Linked DNA regions of Canis lupus familiaris. The protein of the gene in region 2 interacts with the protein of the main gene of each other region in a pairwise test. Links are inferred from orthologs where the notes say so. Each region holds a gene or a part of one and is shown on either strand. Other genes may lie near its edges.

The links.
Region 1: the proteins of MAPK8IP3 (region 2) and KLC1 interact in binary tests that used the Homo sapiens proteins (3 or more experiments, as listed by UniProt). The link is inferred for Canis lupus familiaris from reciprocal best matches to the Homo sapiens genes MAPK8IP3 and KLC1.

The regions. Positions count from the first base shown.
Region 1 is NC_049229.1:71,780,242-71,784,332, reverse strand, and holds the start of KLC1 (kinesin light chain 1), read right to left. Parts: upstream 2,801-4,091; 5' UTR 2,780-2,800; intron 2,446-2,779; coding exon of another isoform or gene 1,698-2,445; intron 1-1,697. Other genes in the region: basic proline-rich protein-like, read left to right, coding at 1,698-2,445, 2,810-2,970. UniProt on the Homo sapiens protein: Kinesin is a microtubule-associated force-producing protein that may play a role in organelle transport. The light chain may function in coupling of cargo to the heavy chain or in the modulation of its ATPase activity.
Region 2 is NC_049227.1:39,595,261-39,598,760, forward strand, and holds part of MAPK8IP3 (C-Jun-amino-terminal kinase-interacting protein 3), read right to left. Parts: intron 3,123-3,500; exon of another isoform or gene 2,995-3,122; intron 2,969-2,994; exon of another isoform or gene 1,578-2,968; coding exon of another isoform or gene 1,539-1,577; intron 866-1,538; coding exon 619-865; intron 1-618.

The DNA of each region.
Region 1 (4,091 bases), on a different chromosome or scaffold from region 2:
TTCCCAACAACTTAGCACAGCACCTGTCATTCAGTTGGTTCTAGATAGACATTTAAGGTCATGCTTTCACCATTTAATATGCTAATCATTTTTATTCTATGCCCTGAAATTTGACATGTAAAACCTGCCTGTACTTCAGTTTAGGATATTACTGATCACTTCTTTGTTACATAAAGTTCTGGTTTCTTATCATATTCCACTTATGTTTCCATGTTACATGAATCCTACAAATTAACCAATCTTTGGTGTTTATATTCCCATATGGAAAGCTACACACTGGCTTATCTTCAACATTACGAAATATGCTTAACGATATATAATTTGGCAGGGGTGCGGGGCACCTGGGTGGCTCAGCGGTTGAGCATCTCTGGCTCAGGGTGTGATCCCAGGGTCCTGGGGGGAGCCTGCTTCCCCCTCTGCCTATGTCTCTGCTTCTCTGTGTCTCTCATGCATGCATGAATGAATGAATGAGAATTCATCATTTTTAAATATATAATTTAAGTAACTACAGTTAAGTTTTCATTTTAAAGTACTTAAGAGAAAAAAAATAAATACTTAAGATACTATGTGCTCCTCCCCAGTGGTATTTTCTCTCATCCTTCCTAGCAGTAGTGTCCTGACTCCCATGCAGGTCTTTCTACCTTTATTTGCATCGTCTAGTGTTTTTAGAAGGTAGTACGAAGCAAAGTGCACGAGCCAGGTCACAGACAAGTTACCACCCTGGGTCCTCCACCCCCCTCAGTAACACCACAGGGCTGCCAGACTCCACTGCAACATGATGTTGCATTCTCTGATGACTTGGGGAAACTGGCTCTTAGGAGTGCCGAGCTTCCCACATGCAGTTCCCCCACTATCTGAAGTTTTTAATATTTAGTATCATTTGTATTCCTACAGATGCTTAGGAAACAGAACAATGAATCAAATTTCCCACCTTCGCTAAGGCCTGTTGCCAATCCCTAAAAGAGGCCAATCCAGAACAGGTAACAAGATGATGAGACTTAAGAACATCGTCCCAATTTCCTAATGGGTTTTTGACTCAACTACTTCCATGTATTTTGAGCTTAACGACTCTGATCAATAGCTTAGTCATGCTGTATCTAAAAAAGCCTTAAAATTTAACTAACGCAAAGAATCAAAGAACCGCCCTTCAATATACCAGTTTAAATAGCGAACCTCAAATTTTCTGTTGTCCTCACTTTTTTTTTTTTTTTAATTCATGAGACACACAGAGAGAGAGAGAGGGGCTGAGACACAGGCAGAGGGAGAAGCAGGCTCCACGCAGGGAGCCCGACGCGGTGCCAATCCCAGGATCCCGGGGTCACGCCCCGAGCTGAAAGCAGATGCTCAACCACTGAGCCCCCCCCCAGGTGTCCCTGTCCTCACACTTTAGAAACGTTTTTTTGCAAGGACTCCTTATGAAACGCCTACCGTAAATTGTTAATGTGTTGTTTAAATAATGAAACAATAAGCAACAATTCTAGCACAAAAAATAATAATTAAAAAAAAAAAAAAACAACCCACCACCTGGATCTGCACACCTTACGCTGTAAAACCACCCAATCCGCCAGGCACTACTACTACAGTTTCAAGGCGTTTAAAGGTCTTGGGGGGTCGAGAGGGCACCGCATTTGACAACCGCGTCGGGGCGGCTTCAAGTTTGGGAGCAGGAGCGACGCCAGCGCAGGTGGACGCGGAGGATGAGCGGGCTCGCGTCCCGCGGTCCAGGGGCAGGGGCGGCCGAGCAGGCGCCGCGGGGCCGGCCTCCCGGGGGGCCCCGGCAGCCGCCGCCCCCGAGCACGACAGGCGCGGCCGCCCAGGGCGGTGCCGCGGGAGAGGGCAGGGGCCGGAAGGAAGAGGGAGGATTCGGACAAAGCCCGGCCGGCCGCCCCCCCGCCGCGTTCCCGGGAGCGCCCCCCCCCCCGCCGCTCGGGGTCCGCAGCTGTTCCGCGAGCCGCCCCCCCCCCCCCGCAGCGCAGCGCAGCCCGGGGACGCGCGGAGGGGACCGACCGCGGGGCGCCGCCGGGGATGCGGGGCGGGGGCGCGGCGCCAAGGGCCCGACGAGGGGGCGCCACAAGTGCCCGTTGGGGTGCCGCGGCGGGGGACGGCCGGCCGCTCACCGTGCTGCTCCCGCGGGGCCGCGCGCTCGCTGTCAGCACCGGGAGGGCGCGGGCGCGGGCGCGTGCGCGGAGCCGGGCTGCGCGGGGCCCGCTGCCTCGATGCCTCAGGCGCGGCGCCGCGGTCACGAGCGAGGGGCGCCGGCGCGGCCGCCCCGCAGCATCCTCGGCCGCCCGCGAGCGCTGTCCCCCGCGGCTCCTCCCTGCAGCCGCCGCCCCGCGCCCGTCGGCTCCTGCTCTGCTCCGGCTCCGCCGCGCCCGCCGCCGAAAATGGCGTCTCGGCGTCCCTCCCCCGGCTCGGGGCTCCCGCCCCACAATGCCCCGCGCGGCCGTGACGTCACCGCCCGCCGCCGGGGGGCGGGGCGCGGCGGGGCGCGGCCGGGAAACTGAGGCCCGGCGCGGAGAGGAGGCTCGCGGGCGTGCGGGAGGGGGCGCTGGGGCGGGGCGCGGCCGCCTGGGACCCCGCGCCGGCCCCGCGCGCCTGCTCGCCCGCCTCTCGGCGCGCCGAGCCCCGGCCCCGCGCGTCTCCGGCGCGCGTCGCCGTCTCCCTGGAAGCCGCCAGGAGGGCTGTGAGCAGCCTGTCCACGGCGCGGCCGAGGGGCGAGGCCACGCAGCAGGCCCCGGGCCTTCTCCGGGGACACCTAGTCTTTGATCGCGACCCTGACCTTCCCCGCCCCGTTACGCCCTCGCCCCAGGGTCCTCAAGAATCCGAGCTCAGCGGGACTTTGCAGGCCTCGCTCGGAACTGCACCGCCAGGCTGGGCAGGGAGATGCCATCCCCGCGGCCGCACGCACCCCCTCCCCCGCGGCAGCCGTGCCACGACCTCCAGCCCCCGCCTGAAGGGCAGTACTTCCAGGTCAGAGCGCGCTCCTGGGCCTCAGCCTGCTGCACCGCCAGCTCTGCAGGCCTGACTCAGCAGCCAGCAGGAGGACGCATGCTGATTCAGGGGGCAATGCTCAGCTTTCTCTGCCTGCCACCGGCTCGGGAGGACCCCCCACCCCCACCACCTGGAGCCTGCAGACATCCCAAGAGCCGGGCCCTGGGGCACTAGTGACCAGGAGGCGTCCCTCCACCACCACCCCCCCATCTGCTTTTGAACTGCTCAGCTCTTCAGATAGATCAACCCAGCACCAACAGCCGGTTTAACCCTAGAATTACACAGCCAGTGGGGGAGTAAATGCTCCTCGATTTTCACAGGGAGATCCAATTACTTTTTTTTTTTTTTTAATTATTATTACTTATTTGACAGAGAGCACAAGCAGGGGGAGCAGCAGAGGGTGAGGGAGAAGCAGGCTCCCTGCCAAGCAAGGAGCCCAATAGGGGGCTTGATCCCAGGACCGGGGATCATGACCTGAGCTGAAGGCAGATGCCTAACGACTGAGCCATGCAGGTGCCCTCAATTACTTTACTGTTTTTTTTTTTTTAAGATTTTATTTATTTATTCATAAGAGACAGAGAGAGAGGCAGAGACACAGGCAGAGGGAGAAGCAGGCTCCACCGATGTGGGACTTGATCCCAGGACTCCAGGATTACACCCTGGGCTGAAGTTAGACGCTAAACCACTGAGCCACCCAAGGATCCCCTACTTTACTTTCATATAAATGCAAAGAGTCAGCTAAAAAAGGGGGAGGGAGAAGCAGTGAATCAAACCACCTTTCCCTTAATGATTTGGCCACACTGCTGCTTGGATGTCACCTACTCCTCAACAGGCACCTAGGGGCTGGGCACACATTTGTAACCAACATGCTCTAGAGACGAGAGGAGTGGGCTGAGTGAGGCCTGCAACTCTGGGTGCAGTGATTGTTCCCTCCACTCGCCCAGGGAGGACCTGAGATGCTTAATGTCCTCTTCTAATGAGCAGCCAAGATCTTAAATCCTTCCTACTGCTGTAGTCCATCCCTCTCCATCCCCACTGCTGCCACTCCGTTTAGGCTTTATTATGTGGGACTCGATCCTGGGACTCTGGGATCATGCCCC
Region 2 (3,500 bases):
CATGCTGAAGCCGCAGCCCCTGGGACCCCAGCATGTGACCATGTTTGGAGATGAGGCTTTTACAGAGGTGTGGATAAAATACAGCCACATGGGTGGGCCCTGACCCCATCTGACTGTGTCCTTGTTAGAGGAACGGATGAGGACACACATGCAGAGGGACGAGCCGGTGAGGACACAGGGAGAGGCGGCAGTCTGGAGTGAGGCCTCTGGGGGCCCTAGCCCTGACGCCCTACTGCTCCCTTCTGGCCTGCAGGGCTGTGAGAAAGCATATCTCAGGTCTGAAGTGCCGGGCCTGTGATATGTGTTATGTCACGGCAGCCTGAGCTCACTGATACATCTAGCAGAACTAACACTGGTAGCTGGAAGGGAAACCTCCCTCGACAGCTTGATGGGGGGGGTCAGGGGATGGCAAGGGGTGGGACAGTGAGGGGGGGACAGCGGGGAGGGGCATGGACAGCAAGGAGTGGGCCAGAGGGGGGGGGCGGGCCAGCGGGAAGGAGAGGGCGGGGATGGGGGACAGCAGGGGTGTGGGAGAGGGGACAGCAGGGGGCCTGGACGGGGGAGGGGGTGCTGGGAGTGTCCAGCCCTGGGAGGCACGGCCGCCAGCCGCCGCAGCACCTATGCTGACGTTCCGCATCTCCTGCGTGACCTGGACCTCCATGTTGCGGCTGTTGCGCTTCTCCCGGGCCCGCTTGCTGCCCTTCGTGCCGGCACCATAGTCCCCCAGGGGCTGCAGGCTCTCGTTGAGCGGTGTGACGGCAGCCGAGGGCACGGAGGACGTGGGTGTGTTGGACTTGGTGCCGGTGGTGCTGGGTGTGGCAGCCGCCGAGGACTGGCCGGACTCGGACATCTCGTCCTGTGGACACTAGGGCCAAACAGGGAAGGGAGAAGCTCGCCATGTGGGTCAGCATGTCCCCAGGCTCCCGGTGAGGCGGGCACAGCCTGCAGGGTCAGCGGGGTCCCAGGCCACCTTCTAGAGGCCCCCTGGCTTGGCCTCTCTGGCCGGGGTCAAAGGCTGAGGGCACAGGAGGCCCCCTGCCCTCCTGTCCGCCAAGTCCTCTGGCCTAGTCCCTTGGTTCACCCAGCCGCTGCCACCTTATCTAAATGGCTTGGATGGGGCCTTTTAGCTGGCACTCCCCAGGACAGCCCACTGATGCCGCGTGTGATGGACATGAAGCTACATGAACATGGCAAGCAACCCTTTGCAGCCAGGGGGTGGTCAAAAACAAGTTGCAGCCCAGGGCAGGGCAGGGAACTCTAGATGGGGACCAGGGAGGAGGCCGAGCACGCTCTCTGATCAAGCTGTCGGGGCGGCAGCCCAGCCACTCCTGTCTCGGGTTCCCTGCACTAGGATGAGAAGGGGCTGGAAAGGGGCACCCACCTCCCAGAGACACCAGGTCCCCTCGGCTCAACTGGAACTCAAGGTCTACGTATCTATGTAAATGCAATCAACCTATAACCCCACTTCCAGACAATGGGTCACCCTTAAAACATTCCAAGAGAGACCAGCTCATTGAAAACTGCAATCAACTGTTGACCTTAAGAATCTCCCTGGAGGGGCGCCTGGTTGGCTCCATCGGTGGAGCATGTGACTCTTGATCTCGGGGTAGTAAGTTCGAGCCCCACGCTGGGTGTGCAAATTACTTAAAATAAAATAAATAAAAATTTTTTACAAACAAAAAAAACAAAAACCAGAATCTCCCTGGAGAGAACACACTGTACGTGAGTACCGCACGGGAAACGAAGCCACCCTCATCCACAGTCCCTCCTCATGAAACCATCCGACAGTATCTGGGAATTGGCCCACTTGTCTACTAACACTGATGACCCTGACTCACCCCAATGCCGTCCTCAGTGGGCAGCACCCCCCTCAGACCTTGCTACCCTCTAGGGGGTGGAGAAGGGGCGCGGCTTCCCAAGCGGCTACGGCTCGCATGCCCCAGTGGCCGTGGCCATGGCTGTGGCCGACAGCACTGGGCCACGTGTTTCTGCAGAAGGGGAGCTTCTGGGAGTGCTTTCTCGCAGGGGAGGAGCTGATGGCAGGGGGCCTGTCCGTAAAGCTGGATGCACACTGGGACCGACCTACACCCCTTTCACCTAGGGAGGGTGACCAGGCTCCCATGGCTGCCGCCAGGTGCCCAGGAGGCAGAGCTGGTTGGGCATCCCTGAGACCTGCCTTTTCCTGATCGTGTGGTGTCAGGCCAGGGCCTGGGACAGAGATGTCTGGTTTCATCTAACAGGCTCCTGACACCTCTCTGCCAGGACTCTCACTATTCCACATCCTCCTCTAGGCAGGGGCTCTCACCCAGGCCCACCATGTCCTCAGGGGATGCTTGGTGATGTCTGGGAACATCTGTGGCTATCATGCCTAGGGACAGGTGGGTGCTCCTGGTGTCCAGTGGGTGGAGGCGGACCACTACCCTGCAGGCCCCAGGATGGCCCAGACCATTGATGTGCCAAGGCGCTATGCCCCGTGCAACAGCCTGTGCCTCTCTCTCCCTAGAAGCACCCCGGTACAAGCATTTTCTATTTGGGTTCTACAGCTTAAGGCCAATTAGAGAAGGAAAAATCCTTTCCTGAGAGCCTCTGTGATGGAGCTGCCCCAGCAGTCTGTCTGCCCCACACGGCAGAGGCTTCTGGGCGTCCCACAGGTAAGGGCCCTCTGCTGCCACCCAGCCCGGGCCAGCACTCAAGGAGACATGGCCCCAGGAGTCCAGAGGCACGGGGAAGTCTGGTGGGGGCTGGGGGAGGCCAGGTACAGGAGTGCATGCCTTTCAGAGCCACATGTTTCCCGGAACACCTTCCTCAGGGCCACGGTCCCCGGCTGGTCCGTGCCCGGCAAGCTCAGGTCTGTGGGTTTGCAGTGGGCCTCCTTGACCCTGGAAGTCACCGAAAGGAACCGTGCAGCGTGGCCAGGCCTCCCCCAGTACCTGGCTCTCCCTGACCCTACAGGCCGCCACCTACCCATGGGACACTCCCCTGGCCACCACTTACCTAGCAGCAAACCTCTCAACCTCCTAAACACCAACGTGTGGCAGTGACCTCCAAATGCAAAGAACCCAAACTCTTAGCGGTCATTCCTCACCATGAGTAGCCACAACTGTTTGGTTAAAACACTGAAAATACAGCACATAAAAACAAAAAACAAAACAAAAAACAACAAAAAAATTAAGAAATTAGAAAAACCTTAAAACCTAGAGCACGAAATAAAAAGAACTTAAACGTAATTTTAAAAAAATCAAATCAAATACACCTACAAACTGAAACATACAACAGTGGGATGAAAACCCAGGCTACTTCAGATGACGCGGCAGGAGAAAGAAGAGACAGGCGGGAAGAAAGCTGGCTCGGCCGCAGGCAGGCCTCTTTGGCCGCTGCAGATGACCCCACAGGCCCCTGCCCTTCTGCCCGGCTCCCCACACAGACAGGGCAGTCCATAATGGGGACGAAGGGTAAGCGCCTAGGTCAGAGGTTGCAGACACATGCTCCCTGTCTGGGAC